Ovis aries: one gene and its partner. The protein of the gene in region 1 interacts with the protein of each later gene in a pairwise test. Links are inferred from orthologs where the notes say so. Each region holds a gene or a part of one and is shown on either strand. Other genes may lie near its edges.

Region 1 (4,119 bases):
AAACATCTTTTCAGCTTTCCAGTATATAATCAGCCTCAGAATGGCAACCATTTCCTATTGTCAGGTAGTTGGTGAGAAATGCAAAGTACACCTGCAACCAGCGGCTCAGGAAGATCAAGGTGAACACCAGGCCTTGGCTCTCACTTCTACCATTCTGTTACCAGGTACGGAAAACTTCAGCGAAAGGACAATTAAAAAATACACATTTTAGCCAGGTATTTGTATGGATGTGAGAGTTGGACTGTGAAGAAGGCTGAGCGCCAAAGAATTGATGCGTTTGAACTGTGGTGTTGGAGAAGACTCTTGAGAGTCCCTTGGACTGCAAGGAGATCCAGCCAGTCCATTCTGAAGGAGATCAGCCCTGGGATTTCTTTGGAAGGAATGATGCTAAAGCTGAAATTCCAGTACTTTGGCCACCTCATGCGAAGAGTTGACTCATTGGAAAAGACTCTGATGCTGGGAGGGATTGGGGGCAGGAGGAGAAGGGGACGACAGAGGATGAGATGGCTGGATGGCATCACTGACTCGATGGACATGAGTCTGAGTGAACTCCGGGAGATGGTGATGGACAGGGAGGCCTGGCATACTGTGATTCATGGGGTCGCAAAGAGTCGGACACGACTGAGCGACTAAACTGAACTGAACTGAACCCCCTTAAAGGTAATGATTAATCCTATGATGACGTTTGTTTGTTTGTTTTTTCCTTTCTTTCTTTTTGGGACCTAAGCGGGGGAGTGGGGGGGGGAGACATCAGGGTGTCACGAATTTCTATCAAACAAGAAAATGAATTAGCTTAGCAGTCTTGGGAAAACTATGAAGTTATGGCAGCTTTGCAGGTGTCCCAAGATTTGGGTTGCTTTACAGGAATAACTGAATTCATGGCACAATTAAGTACTGGTTCAAGCTCATGCTAAAATATCCTAAGTCCCTTTTACTTTAAATCATTCTAAGTATGCTTTTCTTTGGAAGGCATCAACTGCAATATGCCACTTCCAGAGATGCATTCCTATACCAACTAGACTTTAAAAATGGTAATTACTCTAAAGGCACACCCTTGAGCAACCATCACACCGCACTGAGCTCCTGAGAATATTCTGGAAGCATCACTGTGAACAGTTGCTTCTCTGTAGGGGAAAAAAGTGAAATTAAACAGAAGCAGCAGCTTCTGTATGGAGAAACACGGTTTGACACTTGGAATCCTTTTCTACTGCAACAGGTTTACCAACAGCTGCGTTCCTCTGGAGTTTTGAATCTGTGAATCCTTGAGTATCACTCCGCCTTTTTTTTTTTTTTTTTTTTAATCATGAAATACCTTCTGTATACCGTACGGCAGGAAGAGAAAGTTTGGAAATTACATGCATAAGACTCAGCTAACCCAGATGACATACATGCAATAGCATTACTTGAAGAACTTATTCAACCCAATCCTTTGCATCTTGTTAACCAAGGCACAGAACCTCTCCAAATTTTGCACCAAAGAAAAGAGAGAATGCAAGGGTCTTGCTGCAGCTCCTGGGACGCACTGAACACCACCTTGTTACAAGTGTATCCAAAGCTCCCAGCACCAGGGACTTGGGCGGACTGCTTCTCTCTGTTTCACTGTCCCTGAAGCTTTCAGAGGAGACGGTTGTGCTATGAATGCAGACCTTACAAAGCAGGCCAAGAAGATGCTTCGTACCCCCAAGTGCTCGCGGTGCCGGAACCATGGCTTCCTGGTACCAGTCAAGGGCCACGCGGGCAAGTGCCGCTGGAAGCAGTGCACCTGCGAGAAGTGCTACTTGATCACCGAGCGCCAGAAGATCGTGGCTGCACAAAAGATGCTCAAGAAGCAGGCCTCTGGAGAGGAGCAGGAGGTGGCCCTGTGCGCACAGGGACCCCAGCTGGCCCCCGGGGGCGCGGCCGCCACCCCAGGCCCAAGCTTCTGCCCGCTGCTTCCGCTTGCCCCTTTGGGAGACGCGCAGCCGGGCCCTTCGGGCCAAGCGGCCGCCTGCCTCCCTGAGAGGCCCCCGCGGGGCCAGAGCCCCAGCCCGAGTGCCTTCCAGCCAGTTCTGGGCGGCCACAACCGCGGCCACGTGGGCCTGAGCGAACAAGCAGCCAGGGCCAGGCCCAGCTCTCTGGAGCCCCAGCTGACGGCGGAGGCCGCCGGCCGGGGCTACCCCGGCTGCCTGGAGCTGCGCAGGCTGCCGCGGCCTGTGCCGAGCCCGCCGTTCACCGACTTCGGTAAGATTCCCGGTGCCCTGAGCCTTTGTCCCGCTGTTGGTTCCTCTCCGCCTCCCCACTTCCCTCACTCTGGCGTCCCAGGCCAGCCGCGCGTATGGGCCCTTGGGGTGGGGGTGGGAAGATGCTTTCTAGAGGGAATCTTGCTTCGGGATACCTTTTTCTGAGTAGGCATTTGGGTTTGGTGCCTTTTTGCAAGAAGGTAAAAAGAGAGAAAGGAATGGGTGGTTCTGAGGGGGTAATTTTAAAAAACATTTAGCTATAGTCTCTGCTTTCCCATTCCGGGAGAAAAAAAAAATGGCCGCACACACACAAAAAAAATGGCCCCCCAGTCTGCTTAGCTGAGGCTCCTCCTCCCAACAGAGGGGATCGCGGGAGAGTGGCCATATTGCGCTTGCGCAACTCTTCCCACCCTTTTCTGGTGCTGGAGGCTCCTCCCCCAGAACGTCCTCGTGGGTGGGCCAGCGCCTTATGACTGCACCTGCGTCCCTCCGCCCACCCCTCCCCCATCTTCTGTGCCCTAGTCAGCTTGCTCCTCAGCCGTGCTCTGGCCCAATGGCTGTGTATGGGCGTTCTTCCCACCTGTTTCCCAGGCATGGATGGGAATGAGACCTCTTTTCTGCTCCCTACAAGAGAACAGTCTATTGAGACGTGGTTGCTGTTTTTCTCTCCTCCCTCCACATGCATAAATTACATTGTTCCCTAGGTATTGTAACTTTCACTATTATAATTTCAAGTCACATGTAGGTTTGAGACTTTTAAAAAGGGGCTCATTTTGGGTGCAGACACGTGTTTTCTGGTTTTCTCTATGGCAGTGTGGTAGAAAGAGCGCAAGTCTGAGTCAGGACGCTGAGGGGCTGCTCACTTGGTAATCTAAGGCAAGTTCCTTCCTTCTGTGACAGCCTCGCCCCTCTGTAGGCTAAGGGGATTGGCTTGATGCTCTCCGAAGGCCAGTTCTGCCTTCTGGGACGTTCTAGGAAAATATAGGTCCCTAGAGAACTAGATGAGGAAGACAGATCTGAAAAGCAGTTCTAGGAGAAGGATACCTTTCTACGGATATGGAGCCTTTCTTTGTTCCATCAACTGAGCACTGTGTGCCCAGCACTAGTGATGAAAAGGTGAAGAGGGGTGAGTCAGATTCCTTGCCCTCAAGGATCTTGTCCTTGTGAAAGAAAAGGACATCACAGAGAACTCTAATAACCAGTGGTTTAGCTGTGGTCTGAAGGAAGATCAGGAGCTGAGCACTGAGGATTCAAGAAGGCAAGTGGAGTTAGGAAAAAAAGCCTTCCAAGCAGAGGGGACAGCATCTGCAGAGGCCCTGAGGTGGAGGAGAAAGAAGGCGCTACTAGTGATCAGACAGTGAGGCTGGAGTGAAGGCAGGAATGCAGTCTGCGTGGGCTTCATGGCTGGGCCAAGGACTTTTGCTGAGGGCAACAGAACATGGTTGAAGGGTTTAAAAAGCAGGGAGGATCAAAAGCATAATGGATATGGGAGTTGTCTGTGAATGGATATGAGTGTTTATTTATACTGCTACCTTCAGACGATAATATGGTGCCCTTTTTTCTAGCTCCATGTGTTTTTAACACTTCCCTCGTTGCATGTCTTTTCAGGGCTCCCTCTGAGCATCAACTCAGATTCTGTGGTGGGGTCTGAGTGCCTGGAGAGAGAACCTCCCAAGCTGTACCCCAGCTGCTCCAGCATGCACCCCTACCGCCCTTTTCCTCTGGGCTACCAGGATGCGTCCCCAAGTGTGGGGATCCCTCTGCAGCAGAGTTTCCAGCACCTGTCCTATAGCCACTACTATGGAGGAGGCTTGGTGAGTCCCATTCCTGATATTTTCGAAGTTCCTCCCTATTTCAGCTGCCCTGGCTGCTTTAACAGACTTTCTCCCAGGCAGCCAGC
Region 2 (3,517 bases), on another chromosome or scaffold:
TAACTATTAAAAAGGCACACATGTATGATTTACAATCACTTAACTTTTAGCCCATGATGATTATTTCTCCCTCACCGTGAGAGAGAATAACAGAGAATTAACCAAAGACTGTTCTAGAATATTTTTCAGGTTGCTGATAAGCTAAAAGCTAAATTATCACAACTGCTCTGAAGATAAGAAAAACAGGCCTCTTCTCAGAGTCTTGTGAAGTTGTCCAGGATAGCATCAGGATTCTAAATTTACCAAGTATTCTACAAGTTCATCAACACAGTGGTACTCTGAGGAGTAGGAGAGATCACATTCCTTCAATTTTCATAAAATGCCAGTCTGGAAGGTGTCCTTCCTATGCGGTTTGCTTTTAGGATATCTTGTTTGTTTTCTAGAACATTTAAAGCTGAATGTCTAGGCTTCTTTTAATGTTAAGACAATGCTATACCACTGGCCACATGGTATTAAGTTTACTTCCTAAACTGTGGGGCACAGAGCATATGGTTTGATGGCTAACAATGTAAATCTGGGGCCAGATTGCCTGGGATGGAATTCTATCTCCTTTACTAACTTGCTGAATTATTTTGGAAAAATCAATTAACTTTTTTGTATCTCTGTTTCCTCATCAGTAAAGGAAGATATTAATACACCTCATAGGACTGATACAAAGATTAAAGGAACTTAAAGTAGAGCCTGACATACACTAAGTACTTAGAAATACACACGCACACTTTTTCTTTCAAAGACTTCCCAATATACCTGTTTTACTTTTCTGCTTCGACTGCCAAAACACCCAATGCTTTTGTTGTCAGCCTGGATATTCCGGTTTTGAATATAAATATTCTGGGAATATTTCTCTGGGAGTTCTGCCTCCAGCTGGTAGGAAAGGTTATGGAGAATGCACACACAGTTCTCTGTGGCCTGAGAAACAGGACAAGAATATTGATTATATATATGTATATACAGGTAACTTCGCAGGTATCATATCACAGAACTTCTGAGGCTTTAGATCTTACAAGGTTAACTGGATGCAACAGGGTGTGCCTGGACTACGGGGTGCCTGGGGGAGTGACATAAGTATGGCTAGAAAGGCTAGGGTTAAATCATAAATGGTCATGAGCACAATGCTAAGAAATAGAGGCTAAATTTTTTAAAACATTGGTTTTTACAGTGTGTTCAGAATGATTTTATATTTTAGGTATATTGCTTACCAGCCATGGGAGTTGGAAAACAGGAGGAGATAATACTTATAGGGATCAATCAGGAGTTGACGACAATAATCAGTATGAAAGATGCACAAATTAGGATAGCAGTAGTAGCATTAAAGAAGAGTGGTTAAACTATAGAGTATTTCAGAAGTAGAATGCACATGATTTGTTGTCCAGAGGATGTGGGATGTGATGGAAGAGAAGAAGTCCTAGATTACTTAGATTTTTATTTTCACTTGGTAGATGGTGATAAATATTAAGAGGGATTATACAGAGGAGCAAGTTTGGGGATGAAGGAAGAGGTGAATTTCATTGCTGAAAATGTAGCATCTAAGTTCCTTTCAAATATCTAGAGGTGTTAAACAGTTTGAAATTTGGGTCTGGAAAGTAGAAAGAAAAACTGGACTATATAGATTTTAAAATTTATGAGCATGTATGGGAAATCTTAAGCTCAACAAATGAGTTAATGAATAAAGTCAAACCCAAGCAGCTACTTCAAGAATACTCTGAAGTCTTAGTAAGACAAAATAATGAGAGATATCTAACTCTTAAATCACCTTGTCATCTGGCTGGTAATCTGCAATGGTGCCTCTGACATAATGGACCAGTGAGTCAATCAGTCCATCACACCTCCTCATCACCTTTCTCCCTTCAGGGCCAGCTGAACTCATATTTCTATTAGGAAAAACAAACAAACAATTAGTCATAAGATTTAGGCTTAAGTGGTCATGTATGGAAGCGAGAGTTGGACTACGAAGAAAGCTGAGCGCTGAAGAATTGATGCTTTTGAATTGTGGTGTTGGAGAAGACTCTTAGAGTCCCTTGGACTGCAAGGAGATTCAACCAGTCCATTCTGAAGGAGATCAGCCCTGGGATTTCTTTGGAAGGAATGATGCTGAAGCTGAAACTCCAGTACTTTGGCCACCTCATGTAAAGAATTGACTCATTGGAAAAGACTCTGATGCTGGGAAGGATTGGGGGCAGGAGAAGAAGGGGACGACAGAGGATGAGATGGCTGGATGGCATCACCGACTCGACGGACGTGAGTGAACTCCGGGAGTTGGTGATGGACAGGGAGGCCTGGTGTGCTGTGATTCATGGGGTTGCAAAGAGTCGGACACGACTGAGCGACTGAACTGAACTGAACTGAAGATATACTCAGGCTGTGTATCTAATAGGTTTTTGTTTCAAAGCTTTACTTTTGTTTCAAAGTTTCTTCCAAGGGAAAACTGGAAAATTTGTCCAAGTATGACAGACTTGTCCTAGACTCAATAAGTCACCAATTGCCTACAGTCATCAACTCTGGACACAACTTAATAAATATATTCATAACACATCATTGTGTAATGTAAGCCTTCTGTCTACTTCATTCCAAGCACCAGAGTATTATTTACTTAATCTTCACCCTATTTTTGAAAGGGTATAAATATATGAGGAAAACGTCTTACAGTTAAAAGTAGAATAAATGGCACATTAGCTGTAGTAATACACTACATGTTCAAGTCTCAACTTATTCTGTGCCTTAATTCTAATTAAATTAAAATTTCTTAAATTCTCTGGGCCTTAGTTTCCTCATTTGTAAATACCGAGTGTTAGACTATAACATTTGGAGGTTTTCCAGGCTTCAGCATAAACTGTTACTGACAAATATTAAACCAAATGCTCTAAAATGTGATGATTCTATAATTAAAATGACAGAGAGATGCCATGAAAAATGCAGTTTCACAGTGTATAAGACCTAAGTTACAAGCCTGACCTATAAGCATCTTTGCACTTAGTCTATTTCTAATTTGGCTAAGCCATGACACCTTTCTATAAATAGTAACTAAATCTACATGTGAAAAGTGCTTCTTTATAGACACTGAAGGTTATCAAATACAGTAAAGTAATATATTTAGGGATCATATTTCAGATTCAGATAATGTTTTTATGTTGGTATTACTATGTCCCTTTGAATTAATTTTTCTTGTCAGCATTAACTATTAAAAAAAATTTTTTTTCCAAAAATTTTAGCAGTTCTATAAACAAGAATGACAAAAGAACGACTTCAGGTTTCTAGAATTTTGAAAACCACCCTCATTCTCTTTTGCTAACTTCATTGGCTAAGAACTATTCCTATAAAATTTATCAGACCAGCTCCCTTCACTGTAGGCAGAACATTACAAAGCATATTCTTTTTGTGTATAATGTCTCAGTGTGATACTGAACACTGAAAGAACTACAATTCTGAGAACTTTGGGGGTCATATTTTCTTCATCTTTAATATACTGTAGTAAGTGATTTAAAAAAGCCTTTCTGTCCCCAAATACTGTTTTCAATAC

Evidence for each region.
Region 2: the proteins of DMRTB1 (region 1) and PKP2 interact in a two-hybrid assay, tested with the Homo sapiens proteins (2 studies listed by BioGRID). The link is inferred for Ovis aries from reciprocal best matches to the Homo sapiens genes DMRTB1 and PKP2.

What each region holds. Positions count from the first base shown.
Region 1 is NC_056054.1:27,981,638-27,985,756, forward strand, and holds the start of DMRTB1 (doublesex- and mab-3-related transcription factor B1), read left to right. Parts: upstream 1-1,313; 5' UTR 1,314-1,634; coding exon 1,635-2,220; intron 2,221-3,827; coding exon 3,828-4,033; intron 4,034-4,119.
Region 2 is NC_056056.1:182,586,458-182,589,974, reverse strand, and holds part of PKP2 (plakophilin-2), read right to left. Parts: intron 1,872-3,517; coding exon 1,754-1,871; intron 910-1,753; coding exon 748-909; intron 1-747. UniProt on the Homo sapiens protein: A component of desmosome cell-cell junctions which are required for positive regulation of cellular adhesion.